2 linked regions of the Mytilus edulis genome follow. The protein of the gene in region 2 interacts with the protein of the main gene of each other region in a pairwise test. Links are inferred from orthologs where the notes say so. Each region holds a gene or a part of one and is shown on either strand. Other genes may lie near its edges. The genes, in order: deoxyribose-phosphate aldolase-like and aldehyde dehydrogenase family 16 member A1-like.

Region 1 (7,927 bases), about 43 Mb from region 2:
TGTAACCTGACTTTCCCATGCGTGTAACCATTGTAACCTGATTCTCCATGCATGTAACCATTGTAACCTGATTCTCCATTCATGTAACCATTGTAACCTGACTTTCCCATGCATGTAACCATTGTAACCTGATTCTCCATGCGTGTAACCATTGTAACCTGATTTCCCATGTATGTAACCATTGTAACCTGATTCTCCATGCATGTAACCATTGTAACCTGATTTCCCATGCATGTAACCATTGTAACCTGATTCTCCATGCATGTAACCATTGTAACCTGACTTTCCCATGTATGTAACCATTGTAACCTGATTCTACATGCATGTAACCATTGTAACCTGACTTTCCCATGCATGTAACCATTGTAACCTGATTCTCCATGCATGTAACCATTGTAACCTGATTCTCCATGTATGTAACCATTGCAACCTGATTTTTCCATGTATGTAACCATTGTAACCTGACTTTCCCATGTATGTAACCATTGTAACCTGATTCTCCATGCATGTAACCATTGTAACCTAACTTTCCAATGCGTTTAACCATTGTAACCTGATTCTCCATGCATGTAACCATTGTAACCTGACTTTCCCATGCATGTAACCATTGTAACCTGACTTTCCCATGCATGTAACCATTGTAACCTGATTCTCCATGCATGTAACCATTGTAATCTGACTTTCCCATGCATGTAACCATTGTAACCTGACTTTCCCATGCATGTAACCATTGTAACCTGATTCTCCATGCATGTAACCATTGTAACCTGACTTTCCCATGCGTGTAACCATTGTAACCTGATTCTCCATGCATGTAACCATTGTAACCTGACTTTCCCATGCATGTAACCATTGTAACCTGATTCTCCATGCGTGTAACCATTGTAACCTGACTTTCCCATGTATGTAACCATTGTAACCTGATTCTCCATGCATGTAACCATTGTAACCTGACTTTCCCATGTATGTAACCATTGTAACCTGATTTCCCATGTATGTAACCATTGTAACCTGACTTTCCCATGCGTGTAACCATTGTAACCTGATTCTCCATGCATGTAACCATTGTAACCTGATTCTCCATTCATGTAACCATTGTAACCTGACTTTCCCATGCATGTAACCATTGTAACCTGATTCTCCATGCGTGTAACCATTGTAACCTCATTCTCCATGCGTGTAACCATTGTAACCTGATTCTCCATGCATGTAACCATTGTAACCTGATTTCCCATGCATGTAACCATTGTAACCTGATTCTTTATGCATGTAACCATTGTAACCTGACTTTCCCATGTATGTAACCATTGTAACCTGATTCTACATGCATGTAACCACTGTAACCTGACTTTCCCATGCATGTAACCATTGTAACCTGATTCTCCATGCATGTAACCATTGTAACCTGATTCTCCATGTATGTAACCATTGCAACCTGATTTTTTCATGTATGTAACCATTGTAACCTGACTTTCCCATGTATGTAACCATTGTAACCTGATTCTCCATGCATGTAACCATTGTTACCTGACTTTCCCATGCGTGTAACCATTGTAACCTGATTCTCCATGCATGTAACCATTGTAACCTGACTTTCCCATGCATGTAACCATTGTAACCTGACTTTCCTTTGCATGTAACCATTGTAACCTGATTCTCCATGCATGTAACCATTGTAATCTGACTTTCCCATGCATGTAACCATTGTAACCTGACTTTCCCATGCATGTAACCATTGTAACCTGATTCTCCATGCATGTAACCATTGTAACCTGACTTTCCCATGCGTGTAACCATTGTAACCTGATTCTCCATGCATGTAACCATTGTAACCTGACTTTCCCATGCGTGTAACCATTGTAACCTGATTCTCCATGCGTGTAACCATTGTAACCTGACTTTCCCATGTATGTAACCATTGTAACCTGATTCTCCATGCATGTAACCATTGTAACCTGACTTTCCCATGTATGTAACCATTGTAACCTGACTTTCCCATGCATGTAACCATTGTAACCTGATTCTCCATGCGTGTAACCATTGTAACCTGATTTTTTCATGCATGTAACCATTGTAACCTGACTCTCCCATGCATGTAACCATTGTTACCTGATTCTCCATGCGTGTAACCATTGTAACCTGATTTCCCATGTATGTAACCATTATAACCTGATTCTCCATGCATGTAACCATTGTAACCTGATTTCCCATGCATGTAACCATTGTAACCTGATTCTCCATGCATGTAACCATTGTAACCTGATTCTCCATGCATGTAACCATTGTAACCTGACTTTCCCATGCATGTAACCATTGTAACCTGATTCTCCATGCGTGTAACCATTGTAACCTGACTTTCCCATGTATATAACCATTGTAACCTGATTTCCCATGTATGTAACCATTGTAACCTGATTCTCCATGTGTGTAACCATTGTAACCTGACTTTCCCATGTATGTAACCATTGTAACCTGATTCTCCATGCATGTAACCATTGTAACCTGACTTTCCCATGCGTGTAACCATTGTAACCTGATTCTCCATGCATGTAACCATTGTAACCTGATTCTCCATGCATGTTACCATTGTAACCTGACTTTCCCATGTATGTAACCATTGTAACCCAACTTTCCCATGTATGTAACCATTTTAACCTGATTTTCCTTGCATGTAACCATTGTAACCTATCTTTCCAATGTATTTAACCATTGTTACATGACTTCCCAATGCATGTAACCATTGTAACCGATTTCTCCATGCATGTTACATTGTTACCCTATTCTTCATGTATGTAACCATTGTAATCTGATTTCCCATGCATGTAACCATTGTAACCCGACTTTCCCAGGCTTGTTACAAATTTTTACTGGATTTCCCATGGACAGCCATGCATGTACAGTTTGCAAAAGATAAAGTCACTATTGCATATCATTTACTTAAGGTCCATGTGTGTAACCAATGTAACCAATGTAACCATTGCTTCAATGGGGGTAACAAAACAAGATACCTATATTCGGGTGCACATTTTGTGCCATATCTACAAATTATAGGTTACGGGATTATGGTCATATCAGTGGGGTAAATGACACTTAATCAGTATTCTGTAAATGTTGCACACAATCGTCTCACCAAACTCAATCCCTGGATTTCTGTCCGACATATTTTCTCTCTTCAGTGTGTTTGAGACGCTTTAGACCACATCCTCGTTACTCTAAAACACTCAAAAGATGAAATAAAATTTTAGACTTTGCAGTGTTCATTTGCATCAATTTTGGACAACCTTGAAATGATACGTTTATTTTAAAGTTTATGATGAAAACTGAAAATAATTGTTGTAAATGTATATATTGGTTATTTCCAAGTAAAGGAATATTGTTATTATTGTATTAAGAGGGTTTATATAAGTTGTCAGAAGTTATTTCTAGTATTTAGTATATTGAATGAGTAATTAACGTACGTTTTACTTTATGTTATTAGCTGTATCGATAACGTCGTATATGGCGCAACTTTGTCATGTATTGTTCAGAACGTTACCGTTGGGTCAATATTTTAAGCGTGACCCCAAAAGTGTACATTAACGAGTTTTTAACTGGAAGAATTTATATGTCTAGATATGTTTATTTATAAGAGTGTTTGATTATAAGCATTTTGAGTCGAGGACTCCTATATTTTATGTAAGCGTTTTACGTTATGTTACGTTATGTTTTTCTTCCTGCTTAGAATATTTACTTCCGGTAATTTGAAATAAATACCAGTGCAACGTCACGTTCGTCAGTTTTTGCTGTGTTTAGATTTGGCTTGCAGCAAGGCTCATCCCGGGGGTTCCTAGAGGTAAGAAGCAGCGCATTAGCTGTATGCCTCGCATTTTATATTACAAGTAAGGGTTATAATTTAGAGGTAAGAAGCAGCGCAGATAGCTGTATGCCTTGCATTTTATTTTAAGTATCTTCGCCCCGTATGTTTATTATATATTATTGTTGGAATATTGTACTTTTATGGAAATATATCGGCTGTTTAATAAAAGTATCATTTTTACTATTGACTAGTTATTCACGCTACCAATGATGAGAGAGAACAGACAACAGATTTGACGTCCGTATTTATTTATTACCCCGTGCATTTACTAGTTTTATGAGATATTCGTATTTGCTGGCTTTATAACTATATAAAAACATAGCAAGAAGCAGAAATTACGACAATGGTGGCAGCGGTTTAGTTTTCACGTTTCAAGGAATTTGGCACGTCTATTTTTAGAAATATTAATTTGTATGGAACACACTAAGTGACATATATTGTGTATGGAGTGCATTTAGCTCTATACATAATTCTGTGTTGAATGGATTATTTTGGAAAATACAGGAGTGCATTTAGCTCCTAAATTTTTAAAATATTTTTTAAGGAGGTGAATTTAGCTTCCTTTAAAGAAAAAAAATATAAAGGAAGTGCAATTAGCTTCCTAGAGAAAAAAAATATATTAAGGAGGTGCATTTAGCTTCCTAGAGAAAAAATATATAAAGGAGGTGCATTTAGCTTCCTAATAATTATTTATTAGGGGAATAGAGGTGCAGTTAGCTTCTATTGGCATATTACTGTTTGTTTTAAACATGGATCTTAGGAATAGAAAAATCCCAGCTCCAAATTTTGGAAGGGGGGAAAGTATGGAGAATATGATTATTTCACAGAGCGGAACTGATCAGCCCTGTAATTTGATAGATTTGGGTATAGAAGATGATGTTAATTTATCTACCTACAGCCCCATAGTAAGCCCGATAAACTCGTCTGTGAAGAATACAAGAACGATTGAGGAAAGTAAGACGAATTTGAATGATAACAATATTATTGCTATTCTAACGGACATTCAGAGACAATTAAAAAATCAAAATGATAGATTTTCTGAGCTCAAGACGAAAGTTTTTGAGATGAGCACGCAAGTATCAGAGATGAACACGCAAGTTAAGCATAATCAGGAAAATATAGCTCAATTAGCAAGGGGTAACCATGTGGCTGAAAATAACACCAATATGCAGAATTTCAGTCAAAATAGCATGACCACAACTGAACATAATAACCAGGTATCAGTGACCCAACAGTTAGTAGCTGGTCCAAGTACTGATAACATGTATACACCACGTCCAGTTAATACAAATTATGTAAGAGAAAGTAGTCGTATTCAGCAACTACAAAGGGAAGAACCAAAACCTAGAAGTCCATTCTTTGATGGTAAAGGGGATTTCAAGGCCTTCTGGACACAGTTTAGTTTACTGAGTAATAGGTTTAGATGGTCCAATGGTTCTAAATTGTCTGAGAGATGAAGCCCTAGTATATGTAAATGAGCTTCCTATGCCATTCCATAAAGATATCAAATGTATTCATAAGGCTATGTCACAGAGATTTGGGGACCATATATTACCAGAGACCTATAGGACCAATTTGCAATTTATCAAACAGGACCACAAAGAAAGCATACAAGAATATGCATTTCGTGTTGAGAGACTAGTAGGTAAGGCATACCCTGATGTAAATGACTTGAGTTTACTGGACCGTTTTAAAACAGAACACTTTATTAAGGGTCTGCCAGACCAGTCACTAGCTTATGAGGTCCTCATACAGAAGCCAGCAACATTGCAGGATGCAATAAATATAGTCACATGGCACGAGTGTTGTCGAAAAAATGTAAATAAAAACGTTAATGTCAGACAAGTAAATACCGATGCAAACTGTATAGAACAAGAGAAAACAGAAGACTTCGAGGTATATCGGACGGAGAATCCAACCCAATATGTCACTTATGCAGAATTTAAAATGGGCATAGACAATTTGAAAAAGGAGTTCAAAATGGATGTTGAAGACATAAAGCAGGATTTAAATGAGATAAAAGATCTATTTAAAACTGAGAAGCAAGAAAGAGAAAATATTGGTCCGTTGAATAGACATAATGTTAGGAAGAAAGACCAATTTAAAGCAAACAACAGTAACAGAGTAAATACATGTTACTCGTGCCACCAAGAGGGACATTACAGCAGAGATTGTCCTTTCTCAAGAGGAAAAGAGGGAAACCAGAAAATATGAATACTTTCGGAGGAAACCCGCAGTTTGGATTTACAAGTCAGGATTATCAGAAATAGTTAGGACTATATATCAGATAGGCCTACACTGGCCAAATATCAGAGTATTTTTGTGTAGATTGGGATTTTTTATAATGTAGTTATGAAACTTGTGTGATTTTTTTTTGTTATTGATAAAATGTAAAAAGAGATTTATTGTTTTTTGAGAAGAGTATACAGTATTATAGATTTTTGAAAGTATATCGTGGTATTGAAATTGTTTTGAGATTTTTTGGAAACAGGTGATTTTTTATCAGAATCTGGAATTTGATGGTCCTATTGAATTGGCGTTGTTGTTTTTATGCAATAAAGATTGTTTAATACTATTTTGGTGGGAAGCTGCTTTCGGTGGGTGTATATTGGCAGTAGTCTAGATTGCAATATACATTTAGGTTACACCATGGGAATGCTGAGCTATAGTCTACACCATTTTAGATATTTCTCGGGGAATACTGATGACCATTTTTTTTTATTTGTTGTACCTTGTACTAATTTTTATACTTTTGTTTGTATGGTGCATCAGTATCGAAGATAGTGTATATATTTATACGCGGGATACCCTTGTGGTATAGAACTTAATAGGACATCTGTCGGCTTATGGTTAGCCGGGTGTTTAAAAGAAGTTGAGCTTCATGATTTTTACAATTCCAGTGTCTGATAGAATGGAGAATCTTGGATTGAATTTTAAATGAAGTATATTAGTGCTGTAACGGGATAAAAAAAAATATAGAACTTTGTTTTTTCGTGACACTTTACTGTTATATAGGTGTAAGAGAAGATATTCATACTTGGAAGAAAATTTTGTTTTATTTGTATGATAAGAGGATTATGTACGTATGAATATTGTGAACAGAATATTTTTAAATGTATCAGTTGTCAGAGTTGACAAGACCATATTTCGAGGACGAAATGTATTCTGGGGGAGGGGCAGTGTTGTAAATGTATATATTGGTTATTTCCAAGTAAAGGAATATTGTTATTATTGTATTAAGAGGGTTTATATAAGTTGTCAGAAGTTATTTCTAGTATTTAGTATATTGAATGAGTAATTAACGTACGTTTTACTTTATGTTATTAGCTGTATCGATAACGTCGTATATGGCGCAACTTTGTCATGTATTGTTCAGAACGTTACCGTTGGGTCAATATTTTAAGCGTGAACCCAAAAGTGTACATTAACGAGTTTTTAACTGGAAGAATTTATATGTCTAGATATGTTTATTTATAAGAGTGTTTGATTATAAGCATTTTGAGTCGAGGACTCCTATATTTTATGTAAGCGTTTTACGTTATGTTACGTTATGTTTTTCTTCCTGCTTAGAATATTTACTTCCGGTAATTTGAAATAAATACCAGTGCAACGTCACGTTCGTCAGTTTTTGCTGTGTTTAGATTTGGCTTGCAGCAAGGCTCATCCCGGGGGTTCCTAGAGGTAAGAAGCAGCGCATTAGCTGTATGCCTCGCATTTTATATTACAAGTAAGGGTTATAATTTAGAGGTAAGAAGCAGCGCAGATAGCTGTATGCCTTGCATTTTATTTTAAGTATCTTCGCCCCGTATGTTTATTATATATTATTGTTGGAATATTGTACTTTTATGGAAATATATCGGCTGTTTAATAAAAGTATCATTTTTACTATTGACTAGTTATTCACGCTACCAATGATGAGAGAGAACAGACAACAGATTTGACGTCCGTAATTATTTATTACCCCGTGCATTTACTAGTTTTATGAGATATTCGTATTTGCTGGCTTTATAACTATATAAAAACAAAGCAAGAAGCAGAAATTACGACAATAATCATATGCCGAAACGCATT
Region 2 (7,138 bases):
ATTTGTAATACTGATTCAAAAATTAAAAGTTGATTTCTGATCAAATATTCAATATTTTTGTGTGTTTGATAAATAAAAAATTGAATATTATTATTTTTAAATTAAGGTCTTCATAAACATAAGTCTATAAATGAACAACAACAAAAACATGTAAATTCATTGGAAAATACTAAAAAATGTGTCTGAAATAAACTTTTTAGTATTAAACCAGATTTTATATTGAACAGATTGAAAATATATTAATGATAATATTGAATAAATACAATATTGCATACAGTTTATGTGTGTTATTAGAAGTATTTCAATAAAAAAGAAGATAATTTTTTGGTCAGGTAAATTAATCAATGAGTGATATATTTCTCCTAGAAGAAATTTAAAGGTCCCAGTGAATAAACTACACAGAGAACAATACCTGTTGTATTTGTTAGATGGGACAATAGGACTTACAAAAGTTTAAATGGACAGGTAACTTGCAGGTGAATCTATGGAAAACTAAGATAGGGTTCGCAATAAATAATTAAAATTTAACTGTCGAGAGTGTAAAAATGTTGTAATACACAAGTTATAGTGTTGGAATCTGTTTCTCTGATGATTTTTATCCTTCTTTTTCAAAGATTTTCAGAAACTTGTGTTTTTTATATGCGACGTCATCAGACATGGTTGCCTTTTTTCATGACGTCATTATAGGAAAATGTAAAAGAAAATAAAACATTTTGACGTCATAATCAAATTTTGACTAATCAATTTGCCGAGAACAGATATTTTACTAGTGAGGAGAAATATTTTTCTCACATCTGTCAGGAAATGTGAAAATAGCCCAAAAATTAGAGAAGTTATTTTCCCCCAGCTAACGTGTTGCAGGAGACAAGGAAATACCAGGCTTCTTTCCATCCATCTGTCAAGTTTTTTAAGCGATCTCACATGTACAATTCTTGCCATATTTTTATGAAACTTATATCATATGTTTATATCAGCAATGTTTTGGACGAGTTCAAAAATCAGTCCTGATCAATTATTTTTAAAAAATTTAAAAGAGTTCTGCGCATTGGCAACATTAATCGTAAGGAAAATTGCTTCATTAGTGCACTCATTTTTTGTTTATGAAAGTTCTATCATACTTTAATACTAGCAATGTCTTGGATGAGTTCCAAATTCAGTGTGGATCAAAGACTTTTAAAAAGAATTATGCCCCTTGGAACTGTGGAAATATTGATTATACAGAAAATTGCATTATTAGAGCTCTCATAAGTTCAATTCTTGTTAGAAATCATGAAAATTAAATATTTGACATGATAGACACTAATTTCTCATCTGCTTATCAAATATTTTCAAAGAAATTTGCCCCTGGGAAATATAAATTATAAAGGAAGTCTCATTGCATTTGCTCTAAAGACTTCATTTCCAGTGCTTTTTTTTTTTAAAGATAAAAACATGTACAACACCAGCAACATTAGAACTGTATTCTTTTATTATTATAGTTGTCAACACAATCCAAAAGCTGTTGAGGTGACTGATGATTGTTTTTTTAAGCGACTTTGACTTCCCATGATTTGCAATATACTTTTTGTGTATGTTGAAAAGACCCTTCAGGTAATATTCTTATATAATCTTAAATTCCATTTGTACTTGATTCTCAATTTGATTATCAATGATAGATAGTATTTTAGGGGTAAACTTTTGAAATATATGCTAAAACAGGGGGAGTAACTCAAATAATAATTTTGAACATGTTTGAAATACACAGATTATCTTTGACCTAGGGCTGAGGTACATTGTAATAGACATTAATTTGACACCCAATCCAAGTTGTTGTCAACTAAATTTACTAATAAAAATAACCTTGATTCAAAATAATAATATTAATTAATTTGATAAAGCCGTTTGATAATATTAACTTAACAAAGATTGACATCAAGTGTTCAACAAAATTTGACATTGATAAAATTTGTTAAAGAGCCAAATTAAATTTAAAGCAGGGGGAACAGAAGAGAATTAAAAAATCCAGAGATTTTGACTCCTGTCAGAAGCATTGCATGAATTTTATTGTTTAAAAGTCTGATAATCTGACATTGTCTGATATGCAGTCTTTCACCCTTAATTTGGTAAATTGAGATATTCTATTCTTTTGCTAAATTTTAACCTTTTTTTATTTTTAGCAAATTTTTTGCTTAAGGTGGTACCTAACACTACAGGGAGATAACTCTAAAATCAGCAGCACGTTTTAATTACGTTGCGTTGTGAAGGCAATATTAAGCTTCTCAATGATCAAAATTGATGTTCGTCAAACTGCTATATAACCAGTGTATTTTTTCTGATAAAACTGTTGGTTCAAATTTTTAACGAGCCAAATTAATTTTAGTCAAAGTGTTGGGTACCACCTTAAATGTCTTATTTACCTGAAAATATATGTTCCTGTCAGTGGCGGATCCAGAAATTTTCATAAGTGGGGGCCCACTGACTGACCTAAGAGGAGGCCCGCTCCATTCATGCTTCAATGATTCCCTATATAAGCAACCAATTCCCCCCCCCCCCCCCCCCCCCCCCAATTCGCCTCTGCCTGGTCTTATTTTGACCAAGGATTTGTATAATAATCCTTGTTTTGACATATTGTTTGAGAAAGCAGATTTTTTTTTAATGTTGTTTAAAAGTCAATATATAATTATATTTCACCCTGTCGACATTGTTTTTGTTGGGAGTTTGTGTTGCTCAATCTATAGTTTACATTTATATTGTGTACAAAGTCATGGACATGGAAGAACATGATTTATGTGTTGGCTTGTAATGAGGTCAGTGGGGTAATTATTATGTGACAGCTCTTGTGCATTTGTAATATATAATAGAATGTATTGAAATCAACCTTAGCAACATTGTCAGCTTCAGGAGCAGGTCCATAGTCCATGCTCTTAAAGATTTCAGCAACAGAATTTTTTGTGTTGGTTTTCGTGTCAGCAGCCATAGTTGTCTTCTCGGGCTTTGTCGTTTGGTTACAGTTAACACCGAAAAGTCACGAGCGAACGCATGCCTTCTACGTCATAACATGGCAGCCACCACTGAAAAAAATTTCGTATAATTTTGGTGAGTTTATCGCCGGTTTTCTGCTTGATTTAGACGTTTATGTGAGACAGTATTATTGCATTCTAAAATGAATTTTGTCTTTTAATCATAATAGAACACGTCACATTATAAAAAGCCGACATCTTTTAGCTTTAACCGTAGTAACCACTTTCTCTTTGATCTGAGAAGTAATAAATTTGGAACTTTGATCCCTGAAGCAATAAAGAAATACATATAATTAATTTACAGAACACAATTAAACATTTTCTTAACAATAATCATGAAAAAAATCTTGAAGCTTTCAAAATGATTATTTTAACCCAATTTAGTGAAAGAAAGATTGTGGGTATTCATTCATGCATGGACATGTTAAAACTTTGTTTATTGCATGTTTAAAAATGCTTACAATTGGCCCTTATGTTTGTTTACAGTCATTCATCCATATAAGAAATGCATTGCAAATGTGAAATGTAACACCACATTTTGATTTGACCTTTAAGTTGTGTGCATCATGTAAAATACATGTACAGTAACTCATTATATTCCTCATCCACATAAAATACCATTCAAGGATTTTCACAATATATTTTACACAACATAAATTTAAATTGTTTTAAAATTTTGATTTGTAGTGCCCATATAAATGTATAATAGAGGTAAATTTTATAACAAGAAGTTGGTACACATTTACTTGCATTGAACATGTAGAACCTCCCATGCTTAGGGGCCTTTACATGTTAAGAAGATTACATCATCATATAATGGTGTTAAATATTGATATGATAATAAAAAAAAATATGCAGTGAGTATTTTCGTTTAGTACATGTAGTATTAAAGTAAGTAAATGTTTAAATTAAGGATTTATTTTTAAGTAAAAAATAAAAAAAACTATCATTAATGATAAATCAAGAAAGGAAAGGAAAACTCAAATCAAATCAAATCAAATATATTGTATCATGACTAAGTTCAAAAATTACAGAAATAGATCAATAGTTTTATTTTGAGTTTTCATACAGAAGTTTCCGCTTTTCTTCTATGATGACCGTTAGTTTTTATTGCAAACTGAAAATGCATGCACACTTAATTAAAACAGGTAAAAAGTAACCTCCGCCAGGTACTTGTACATTTGTAGGCAATCTTTTATTGTTAGAGATACAGAGAAAGTTATTGCAGGAAAAATGCTCAGAAGAGCATGAACTGTAATGTTAGGAAATTACTTCACTAAATTTTTTATCAAGTAACCTGCATTTTCAGGTAATTTTAAACAGGTAAAAGGTGTAATTTATTACATTTGTGTAGAATTCCGAATAAAACTACTTTTAGTCTTCAATTATTTTGTTGTTTTAATTTATGTGCAATATAATAAAGAATTCCCAGTTGCTCAATTCTGTAGCGCTATACACGTAACACAACTTATTATGTAATAGTGGCACAAATAAGTGGCTCTGTCCTCAAAATTTTCAGACTGTCAACCTCTGTTTTCCCTCCATTTTCTACGTCTCGTAATGATCGTTCAAATTATATTTCACACACGAATTAAATGCAATAAACACATTGAGATAACAAGAAACCTTTTAACTTATCTTCATTGTCAGTTTCGCAATAGAAATGCTGAAATATTTACATATTTACAGCTTCGTTTCAGATTTTTGCCATTTGCATTTGTCAAAATATTTGTTTTTATTTTCTGTCAGTTTTCCCTCTACTGAATGATTTTACTATAAATATTGCTGGGATTTCAAGTGCAAATAAGACCTTGTATTTCCTAGATTCATACGAGGAAAAATTAGAGAGGACCTGAACCAAAACCGAATGGTTTAAGAGTCGTGATGATGCAAGGTTAAATATCATTTTCATCATGTTCACGGTAGAAACTATATATATGTAACATTTGTTTACATTTATTATTATACATGATATAGCACTGTGAATGGGGAGAAAAAGCCAATTGCCTGAAGTCAGCAATCGTAACCCTTACCATGCAGGTTTTTTTTATATTACGGCCATACTCAAAATATCGTTATTTGGCTCCAATGGCTCTCCATATTTTTTTTTAGGTAAACTTGAAAACATTTATTTCAAAGTGAATGCATGTTACATCATTCTTACACTATTGTCATATTTCTTAGTTTTAATGCTAATTCTGATAAGCATGATGAGCACAAACTTGTATGAAAAATTGAAATCAGATAAAACTGTGGTTTTTGGAGGTGTAGGCTTCTTTTTAATGTATGACACGCGAGGTGCAGGGGCCTAAAACTTCCACAAGTAGTGCAAACCAGCAGGCATATAACTATCATGACTATTGCTCATGTTTATTATTAAAATACACATAGGAAATGGCTACTTTCGGTTGTACACTTGTGTAGGTCCTAATTAGTGTTAAATTAAAAAATCCGAAAAAAAATCTAAATTTCATATATTGGGTCCAAATGACTTCTTTTGAAATTAGACTGACCATGGCCAGATCAATTTCACTCTGACCAAAGAACTGTGGTAAATTTGTTCACTGGGGTCCACTACTGATTAATATATAGATCTATCAGCATTCCTTGGTCTTCCATGTCAGGAAATAGGATGAAAAATTGTCAAAATTGATGCTTTCTTTCTCCGTAATTGGCTATTGACCAACTCTAAGACAATTTCTACCTACTGAAGAATTTTTAAAATATTTAAAAAAAAAATGTGGTATATTTTTATAGATCGAAAAAAAATTGCTGACATTATATAGGACATATTTAATTTTGCAGCTTCTTTCATCATCATGATTAAATTTACTCATAAAAAAAGCAAAAAATATAGTTAACATTTGATATAAATCATAATAATAGTAGATTGTCAATACATATTTCTATGTGAAAAGTTGCTATAATTTCAATTCATTCAAAAGAGTACACTGCCTTGATATATATAGTATCACAACATCAACAAAATTGATCTTTTTGGAAATTTTAAAATTGATGAAATGCCCCTAAAATCATTCCTCATGGTCTGACAAGTTTTTTACACAGCATTTTAAAGCTGTCCTTCCTCCTCAAATCAAAATTTTTGTGATCATGATGCCAAAGTGCAGTTTAATTCTATCTTATTTTAAAACTGAAAGAGCATGAATTTATATTTATACTAGAAAGAAGGAAAACTTATTGAAAGAAGGGGTTGATAGTCATGATAGTTGGAAAATACATCCAGAAAATATGAGATACATGAATAAATAAATGTGTATGTGTATGCAAATCAACACAACATTTTCATTCTCAATTTTAGTTCCAACTTCACAAACAATCTTAATTTCATAAGCTCAATAGATTTTAATCAATCAAAATGCAATACCCCTCATTCTGACCCTCGTGTAATTAATGAAGAGCATCTGACAGTAATTAGAGGCATGTGAGAGTCTAGTCTGATCTGGTGAATGACATATCTCCAGTGTATCTCTATATCTGTTCAGACTTGTCAGAGATGGTATGGGTGGTGTTGTTGGTGTTCTGCTAGCAAATTGTGGTGAAGTAAATATAAGATTTCTCACATTTTTTTCCACACATCTCCCCATTGTAAATTTTGTTTCTGTGTTTGACTCGTTCAGTAAAAAATATTGAAAGTGAAAATAAATTGATGTATTTATTACCCTACACCCACCCGGGAGTGATTTTACTGAACCATTTTGTATTTAATTATAAATTGTACCTCTCAACTTATTCCCATTTACTGGTATATATATTTATGATAAAGCATTTTTATAAAGATACATACATGTATATCTTGTTCATTGTTGTAACTTAAATGTAGTAATCATGTTAATCAGTGGTTATCTTATAAGTATTGTTTTTATGTTAAGGAGGAGGGGGTTAACTGATGCAAAAAATCAATGGGTCTTTATGTAGTTTTAGAAAATGATACATTTTATGTATTTATAGACGCCTCCAAATGAGTTGACAAATTTATACATTATAAACATTCTTTCATATCATTGTGATCATTTTGTTGAGAATGGCATGCATAGATTAATGTTCAGTATTGTTTAGTTTTGATATATTTTGGTACTTTTTATACGACCCCAAAAAATTTTTGGGATCGTATAATGGTA

Evidence for each region.
Region 1: the proteins of aldehyde dehydrogenase family 16 member A1-like (region 2) and deoxyribose-phosphate aldolase-like interact in binary tests that used the Homo sapiens proteins (3 or more experiments, as listed by UniProt). The link is inferred for Mytilus edulis from reciprocal best matches to the Homo sapiens genes ALDH16A1 and DERA.

Annotation. Positions count from the first base shown.
Region 1 is NC_092353.1:35,894,900-35,902,826, forward strand, and holds the start of deoxyribose-phosphate aldolase-like, read right to left. Parts: upstream 3,238-7,927; 5' UTR 3,162-3,237; coding exon 3,131-3,161; intron 1-3,130. UniProt on the Homo sapiens protein: Catalyzes a reversible aldol reaction between acetaldehyde and D-glyceraldehyde 3-phosphate to generate 2-deoxy-D-ribose 5-phosphate. Participates in stress granule (SG) assembly.
Region 2 is NC_092353.1:78,683,015-78,690,152, reverse strand, and holds the start of aldehyde dehydrogenase family 16 member A1-like, read right to left. Parts: upstream 3,038-7,138; 5' UTR 2,957-3,037; coding exon 2,858-2,956; intron 1-2,857.